2 linked regions of the Drosophila melanogaster genome follow. The gene in region 2 interacts genetically with the main gene of each other region. Each region holds a gene or a part of one and is shown on either strand. Other genes may lie near its edges. The genes, in order: amos and Dr.

Evidence for each region.
Region 1: of Dr (region 2) and amos, changing one suppresses a phenotype caused by changing the other (phenotypic suppression), as found in Drosophila melanogaster (one study listed by BioGRID).

The regions. Positions count from the first base shown.
Region 1 is NT_033779.5:18,595,552-18,598,926, reverse strand, and holds amos (absent MD neurons and olfactory sensilla), read left to right. Parts: upstream 1-2,005; 5' UTR 2,006-2,020; coding exon 2,021-2,617; 3' UTR 2,618-2,791; downstream 2,792-3,375. UniProt on the Drosophila melanogaster protein: Transcription factor involved in early neurogenesis; sensillum basiconica formation and maybe sensillum trichodea development. Promotes multiple dendritic (MD) neuron formation. Required for olfactory sensilla; regulated by lozenge (lz).
Region 2 is NT_033777.3:29,554,694-29,559,538, reverse strand, and holds the start of Dr (drop), read right to left. Parts: upstream 3,154-4,845; 5' UTR 2,904-3,153; coding exon 1,694-2,903; intron 1-1,693. UniProt on the Drosophila melanogaster protein: Plays a key role in the specification of proneural and promuscular cluster formation. Required for the specification of dorsal and lateral muscle progenitor cells. Regulates development of peripheral nervous system derived from lateral neuroblasts.

The sequences.
Region 1 (3,375 bases), on a different chromosome or scaffold from region 2:
TAAAGTATGCAATTATAAATTATATTCCAATTCTCCGCTTTCGCTAGGAACATCCATTTCAAGTTCTTGCTAGACATACTGTCTGGATATTTTTGCACATCTGTGACCACAACGAATTTACTTGGAAACAAACAAATCTTTGTATATAATAATTCATAATTCCAGATTATTACATGGTAATTATGCTCAGGACAATGAAGTTAGGTCTGATCCATTTCAGACCAACAATGGGACCAAAAAACAAAGATCCATTGTCAGGCATTGCAATACAAAGAGTGGAATCAACAAGTGTCGGGCGAGAAGAGATTCCCATGGAATTCCTGGTGACTCCGGGACTCTGACTTCTAATCTCATTTTCGCAATTTAGCGCCAACAACTAATCCGCAAAGCGAAAACGATTAATCTGGCAGGGAAAACCCAAAAACACGCAACTGCCAGACGTATCCGAGATTATCATCAGGTGACCTATTGTTGGTCAGAAGAAAAGAAACAAACGGGCATGGATATGGATGGAGTGCGGAGAGAGGTTCCCACTTTCAACCAGAACCGCCCACCAACCGACTACCTATTGTTGCTATTTTGACAGGATCGAGGTCCCAGGTAGCGCAGAAAAATGCTAATTGGAAATTCCAGAACCTCTTTTCGAAGGCGTTGCAGATCTTTAGGTTATCCGCGAACCTTTCTCCCGAAAATATTGCAGCATAATGCCTAATCTGGGCCAGGATTTCGACTAAGCTGCGGTCGCGTGGCACTCTTAACAAAGTGAACCGATCGAGCGATCGATCGATCCATCAGCTATCATCATCATCGTCAAGATCAAACGTCAGGATCCTTTGTCGGCTCGGGACTTTGTTCCTTGACAATTTGGGCGAAGTAACTGGGCCATCTTGCAGTGGCATCATTTGTACTCTTTAGCCATGCTCGGCGCTTCTCGGCCAGTGTTTTCCAATTGTTTTGCCCAGTTTCCTTAGAAATTCAGCGAACTCCTCGAATTGATTTTCCCTCTAATGCTGCGAGTCTGTGGAGTTAATTAGCCTTTCGATGCGGTCACTTGAAAGTGGGCTTGATCCCAAGATGACTGTGGAAACCAGAGCATACGAATGAAAGTATATAATGTGAGGGTGCAACATATTGCACCAGAGTTTCGAAGGACCCATCGAATGGTTTCAGCATGTTAAAGTAGTGTAGTTTTATTATCGGAAAAGTAACTCTTCAGTAAAGGCGTTAATATAGCACATTTCAAATCCCTTAATATGAAAATAATAATAAATAATAATAATGTGATACTTGCTTTGATTTCTTCATGCTTTTTTGAATTTCGAACTTCTCGACGTCCTGTAATTTGGCCATTGAAAGCAGGAGAAAGCCACTATTAATACACCCACTTAAATTTGACCCAATAAAGTAAGTACAACCGCCTAAAATCGAAAGTCACAAACCGCACAAGCACAATTGTTGCTCTTTGTTCTGTCCGAAAAATGGGGTTTGCATCCAACCAGTCGAGCACTCCACTCACTAGACCACAGACATGCAACCAAGATGATCCATGGCGATCTTCGATGGAGGCACACATTGTGGAAAATATTCCCATATGACAAGAGTCTTTTGTGCGTTCGCATTTTGACCTTGGCTAAATTTTGTTTGAATATAAAAAGTCAATTCCAGGGCAAGTAACAAAAGAGGTATGATTACAGACGGTAGCCAAATGACAGGTCAAACAAAAGGAGTCGACCTGTAGCTGATACAGTAAATACCTGGGAGAAAGAGGGAGAGAGTTGCAGCCAGAGACAATTAAACGTCTTGACCGCAAGCCAATTTAGGGCACGGGCTGTGCTGCTGATCCTCAAGAGGTTGGCAATCGGGTACCTGAGCGGATCGGATCAGCTTGAGGCAGCGAATCAGGTAACAGGACATATGTAGTGAACCAATCACGTGAGAGCTGAATCCTCGGCAGGCAGCTATATAAAGACCCATCCTCAAGCAGCCACTTCAGTTGTCCCTTGAGCCTGCAAACGTAAACATGTTGACCAACAACGAGCTAATGGAGCAGTTCTACTTCCCCGACGAAGCCCCAGCGATTCCCGAGTTCCTGAGCAACGACACCTTCCAGCAGTTGGAGCAGCTCATGTACCAGCAGGAGTTCAGCACCAGCGACAGCCAGTCGGATGGCGCCAACAGTTGCTCCTTGGAGATGTATTACGATACGCCGTCTGTCCTGGAATTGGAGCACATGCTGAATGCCCAGGAGCAGCAGCAGCACCACCTTCAAGCGAATCCCTTGGGCAAGAATCAGGGCAGAAGTCCAAGGTACTGGAACAAGCAGCAGAGGAGCAAGCCATACGACAAGCTGTCCACTTCCATGTCATCATCTACATCCTCCGCCTCTTCGAGCAGTTCATCGTCCGCGGGATTCGGTGGCGAAGTCCTCAAAAAACGGCGACTGGCCGCCAATGCTCGGGAACGGAGGCGGATGAACAGCCTGAACGATGCCTTCGACAAGTTGAGAGATGTGGTTCCATCACTCGGCCACGATCGGCGACTCTCCAAATACGAAACTCTGCAAATGGCGCAAGCATACATCGGGGATCTGGTCACGTTGCTGTCCAGAGACTACTAGCCAGTGTGGGCGATCCTTTATCCTTTCTTCCTCAAATGGAAGTTCCTTTTGCGGGCTGTGTTGCAGCAACACCTTCATATCCTAGTGGAAATCTTATAAAGGCTGTTAGTTTTACGTTTATTATCATAGTTGTACACAATTCAAGCAATAGTTTTATAATAAAAATGAAAATACAAATCAATTATATTGTTTTAAATTCATATCGTATGAAATGGTGGAGTTGGAATGAAAATAATGTTGTGCGAACTTGGAAATTTATATTTTGTTTGAATTGTATCTTTGCATTTTTTGCTGGTACATATACAGAATTTAGAGCAGATATTTTTAGAGAGAAAAAGGGAAAAATCCAATAAATATTTAAAAAAAAGATAGGAAGTTTATAGGTACTGAAATGTAAATAACTTATCAGACTTATTAATTTACATAAATATATGTAAAAACTCCATTTATCAATCCAACTGATGCCTCCACATTTGTTTTTATTCGCCACGCTTTCATCTCAGCCCGAAAAAGGGTATCCTTGTTATCCTTGAAAGATGAGAGCGGCATGGCAAGCTAGGCAGTGCGCCACGCCCACGAACCAAAACGAAAGGTCATAACATCAGTAACAAACCGAGAATTAATGAGTTCCGCTTCCGACTCAAAGTGATGGAACTCCAAAACAGAAGTGATTAAATGCCGCAAACGTCAACAGGTAAACACACTGAGGATAAACACAGTCGCTACCTTAGATCCTTCGAAGATTAGACGAAAATTGA
Region 2 (4,845 bases):
CGGCAAATGTTTGGAATAGTTTATTCATCTCGGCATCTTTATAGGGAAGGAACGAAAGATAGCTCAAGTGGTTGATGAAGGGCGGTGAATTGATGGCCCACATCGAGATTGATTTATATCGATTTGTTGAACAGTTCCCTTTTGAAATATTTTGGAATTTATGAAAGCACTTTTAGAGATGCAGTTCTGGAATTTCATGTATTAATAGTTTGAATGAGGCGGTAATATGGTAATACTCGAACTAACCTACTTTAAAGCCCAAATTTCCTAATACAACACCCCATTTGAAGCCCTTTTTTTCAAAACACAGCCGACAGCTTTATAAAACAATGCTTTGTAGTGGCAAGAAAAACCCGAGCATATGCAGCAAAAACAGGAACAATAGTTGCTGTTCTGCATATAAAAAGCAAATTTACACTTTTTTGCCCACCGTTTTTGCACCGCCCTTTCCGAGTTTTTCGAATGTGTTTGAGCAACTTTAAGGAGCGGAAACGCAGAGTTCGCGATGGCCGAGTAAAGTTCACATGTCAGTCCGGCATCAAAGTGTGACTTGTCGAGTGTTTTCCCCGATTTTCCACCAGTTTTTCCCTACGACCCGCGGTGCTTTTTGTCCAGGAAATGCAGGCAAAGTGTGAACTGTGCATGCAGATAGAGATCGCCCAGTTAAACAGCCAGACTCGCTTCAATTAGTCTGGCTGGTCGGTTAGACAGTCCGCTTTTTACGCGCTTATTATTAGATTTTCCAATTCGGGAACGGTAATGGGGGGCTGGCTGGCTGTCAGACCGGAAAACACCGAAAAACGCCGCTGGCCAGCGAGTGCAATGAATAATCAGACGTGGCCAATTGAGTCAAATCAGAACCGACGCGACTATCATCAGCCATCAGCCATCATCATCATCATCATCATCAAATAATGGGCCCAGCGCAATCAGGCAGTTTTCATTGTTTTATTTAAGGCCCCGCAATAATTGCCACGCACTTTGACTACAAACTGCAGTCACGATCACTTCCATTCCATAGCCATGATGACGATGACGACGAGGTGGCCATGATGGAGCACCCGCAGCTCGCGTCCGACCAGGAGCGGAGAGTCACCATCGATGCCAATTAAGGCGAGGGGCGGCAGTTAATTGAATTAAAATGCGACACAAAATGGTGTAGATAAAGTTGCCACCGCACATGGGGCATAAAACAATGAGGGGTGGGGTGGGTGGTTTGAAATTCCTCCATTAAATAAATCGTTTTTGAATACACATCGCTGGCTGCTAATGGGGAATTTGCTCCCAAGCGGAATTCGCGTATTTCTATTGTTCACGGGTTCAGAAGTTCATGTTTATGGGTTTACAGTTAATTATAAATAAATATATGAAATGTAACTATATATACACTCATATTTACTTTGATGTTAAGGCTCTAAATTGAAAATATTTTCGAAAGAGAGTTGAGGTTGTTTTTATTTTTTTTGAAGTAAACCTTTTGAGTTCTATATTCTCTCCTATATATATTTTTATTTTCCCATTATTTAATTATGCCCATGCTGAATCCTCCATTGCAAATGAGTTTAAAATATCGCTTAGGACAGGACAGTTAAGCACATGTAACAGATAAGGTTTATCATTTCCCCTCTAGGAAGTACAAAAACCGAAAACAAGCTGACAAAAACCCCACAAAGAACTGGATAACGACACTTACCTCCACCGAATCCTGCTCCCGGAAACATGCCAGGCGGTCCGAAGGGCGGCATTTGTCTGGTTCCTGGCCACGGAACTCCACCGCCCATTCCCGTCCAGGCCACCGCCGCGGCGGCCAGTGCACTGAAGGGGGTCGGGCGGATGGGCACATGACCGGAGGCCAGGGCCGCCGGGGAAAGTATCGTGGATTGCATGTGAGAGCCCGGCGGCGGACCGTGCGGCGATTCCAGCGACTTGCCGCTGCCGTCGAGGCCGTCGGGCGTGGAGCGCGGCGAGTCGTCGGCGTTCATGTCCTCGATATCCACAATGGAGTCCTCCTCCTCGTCGTGATCGGCCTCGTGGTCCTGCAGCATCTCCTCGTCGTACTCCAGCTCGGAGTCCGTGTGGCTGCCCAGCGGCGAATGGCGTTCATTTTTGGCGGGAGTGGAGGCCACATTGCCCTGCGATCCCAGTGCGGATCCCAGTGGCGTGGAGCTGGGCGTGGAACTCGTGGAGGCGGGTGGCGAGTTGGCCCGGGCGTCCGCCTGCTGCTGCTGTTGGCGCAGCTGGGCGGCCATCGCCTGGTGCTGGGCATGTGCCGCCGCAGCCGCGTGGGCGGCCTGCAGCAAGTGGGCGTGGTGCGCGACGGCGGCGGGATGGAAGGTGTTGGCGGGAACTTGGGCGGCCGCACTGGCCGGCGGAGGCGGCGGCGTGCTGCTGGCCTGGGAGATGGGCGAGGTGGCCGCCGAACTGGTCAGGTTCTGGGGTCCATCCGCCGCCTGGTTGGGTGGCGTTCTGGGCCTCGTGTCCGCCAGGAGAGAGGCCACACTAAAGTTGCTCAGTCGGGAGGTGGTCTTGTGCAGATGGTGGGCCGGCGGATGCACTGCGGCCAGCTGGAGCGCCGCCGCCTGCTGCTGCTGTTGCTGCTGCTGCTGGTGTTGCTGGTGCTGCTGCAGCAGATGCTGCTGATGGGCCAGCAGCAGTGCCGACGGCGAGGTGGGACTGGCCAGGGCATTCAGGCCAGCCGGGTGGCTAGGACTCAGGTTGGTCAGGTTGCTGCTGGTCATGTTGCCGCTGCTCATGTTGCTGCCGCTGTTGCTGCCGCTGTTGCTACTGCTGCTGGTGATGATGAGGTTACCCGCGGGAGTGTTACTGCTCGGCGGCACCGTGGGACTGGTCATCGTCTGGCGCAGACCTGTAACTGTCATGCTCGCTGGGCTGAGCTTTAACATAAAGCCTTTCGATCGTTTGTGTAACTGTGGCTCGTTAATACTGTGCTTTAGGTGCGCCGGTTAATTGGTTCATTGAGACATGGTCTGCTGTTAATTTGTTTTGATTATCTTTCAATTAATGCGCTCGTTCGTCACACGCTTGGGAAACACAGACACACACTGTCACACGCGGCGTTTTGTATCTTTTCAGGGGCTATTTATTTCCAGAGAGAGACACGTCCTCTTGAGATCACGTCTGTTCTGCGACTGAAACTGTGGTCGCAGTTTCGGATGCACCGCTGCCTGCCACACAGATACTCACTCACACCGACGCACTCGACGATTGGTGGTGGGAAACCGGCTGTGTAGAGCGTGCCTCTCTCTCACTCCCGTGGTGGAGTGCACCGCGTGCGACACCATTTTTATTGGTTTCGAGACTAGCTCGCTCGCTCTTTTTTTCCGGTGTGAGTCTTGTATTTCTCCACTTTTCTGACTTTTGTTCCGCCTTCTTTTCTCTTTCGCTCTCGCTTCAGTGTGGTGAGTTTGCCGCACTCTTGCCGTACAGACAGAGATGGTGTAGCTGCCCCGCAGTATAGCCGTCCCTGTCGCACGCCTAATTATTATTGAATAATTCAATCTTCAAAGCGTTTTTCCACTTTTTTTTCGAGCTGCTGCGCGTATTAGCATTTTATAACAAGCAGCGGCGGCAAACGCCTGTCCATTTCCACTTTGGTTTTCTGGCTTTTCCTTCCATCTCCATTTTCCCTCTATCTCCCTCTTTATCGTTTATGACTTCATTTGGCCAAATTGGCGTGATTTTTTAAGCTTTATGTACGCCTAATATGTACATATATATGTATGTATATATAGACCAGGCGGTTTTTCAATTTTAATTGGCACTCCTACATGTCCTTAGCGTACAAGAACAATATAATAAATAATAAGCCCATCATTATCAGGGCCCCAAAAGCATCAAATGTCGGGTGGAGCGGCATTATCGCAAAGCTGCAATCTCGGTCAGGAAATTATGTTTTTTCTTCCCTTTTGCTCCACCTCAGGAGATAAGCCATAAAAATCGGATCGGTCCACATAAATCGAACGTCCCGGGAACCCGGCCGAATCAATCACATACATATAAATGTGAAATATGCAGGATTATATAGAATTTTGCCAACCCCCATAAGCTCCATAAATTGCAAGGTTGGCGGGTGGAGTGAGGGAGGGAGCGGGAATACCGCACCCTTTATAATTCTCGCTCTACAAATTAAACTCATTTTAAGGATTATTATGTGAAATTGTTGGCTTGAAAACTTTTGCCAGCCATTGTTCAGCTGCTCCTTTGTTTTCCGCTGCTCGAAGGACCAAGTTGTGAAAATGGGAAATGGGCGTCGGATTGTGCGGGTTCGCTCGGCTTTTCGGGCGGCAAGTTGGTGAAAGGATTTTAATGACAATTGCCAGTGGGTGGAAAATAAAGAGCTCAATTAGAACAGTTGACGAATGGCTGTGTGGTTGCCTTAATTAGTTGCAAACGATGCTGAAAATGAAACGACTCTGCATGATTGGGGAAATTCTAGCCAATTAATTTGAGTTCTTGCCTAAATGGGTTGGGTGAAATTTAGAAATATTTTTATATAATTTCTGAACTTTTTTCAAACTCTTTCCGAAATCGTTTTTAATTACACTTAAAAGAAACCAAGACAGTAAACTCGTTTATGAACTTCTCACATTTCCCAGCCATTCAATTAACACTTGATATACCTCTTACCACTTTTCCAACGCCCCTCTTGACTGATTAAAATTTTTCCAACTTCCCAAAACTTGAGCTCTTCATTACGATGCCCGGCAATTCCGCTTTCTTTTCAATTAAACATTTCGAAATGGCGGCAAAATGCGATGAGAGGCCCCTCAGCTCGTTAATATCATTGTCTGCGTCTCGTTTTCTATACTTTGTGCCGTTGGCATA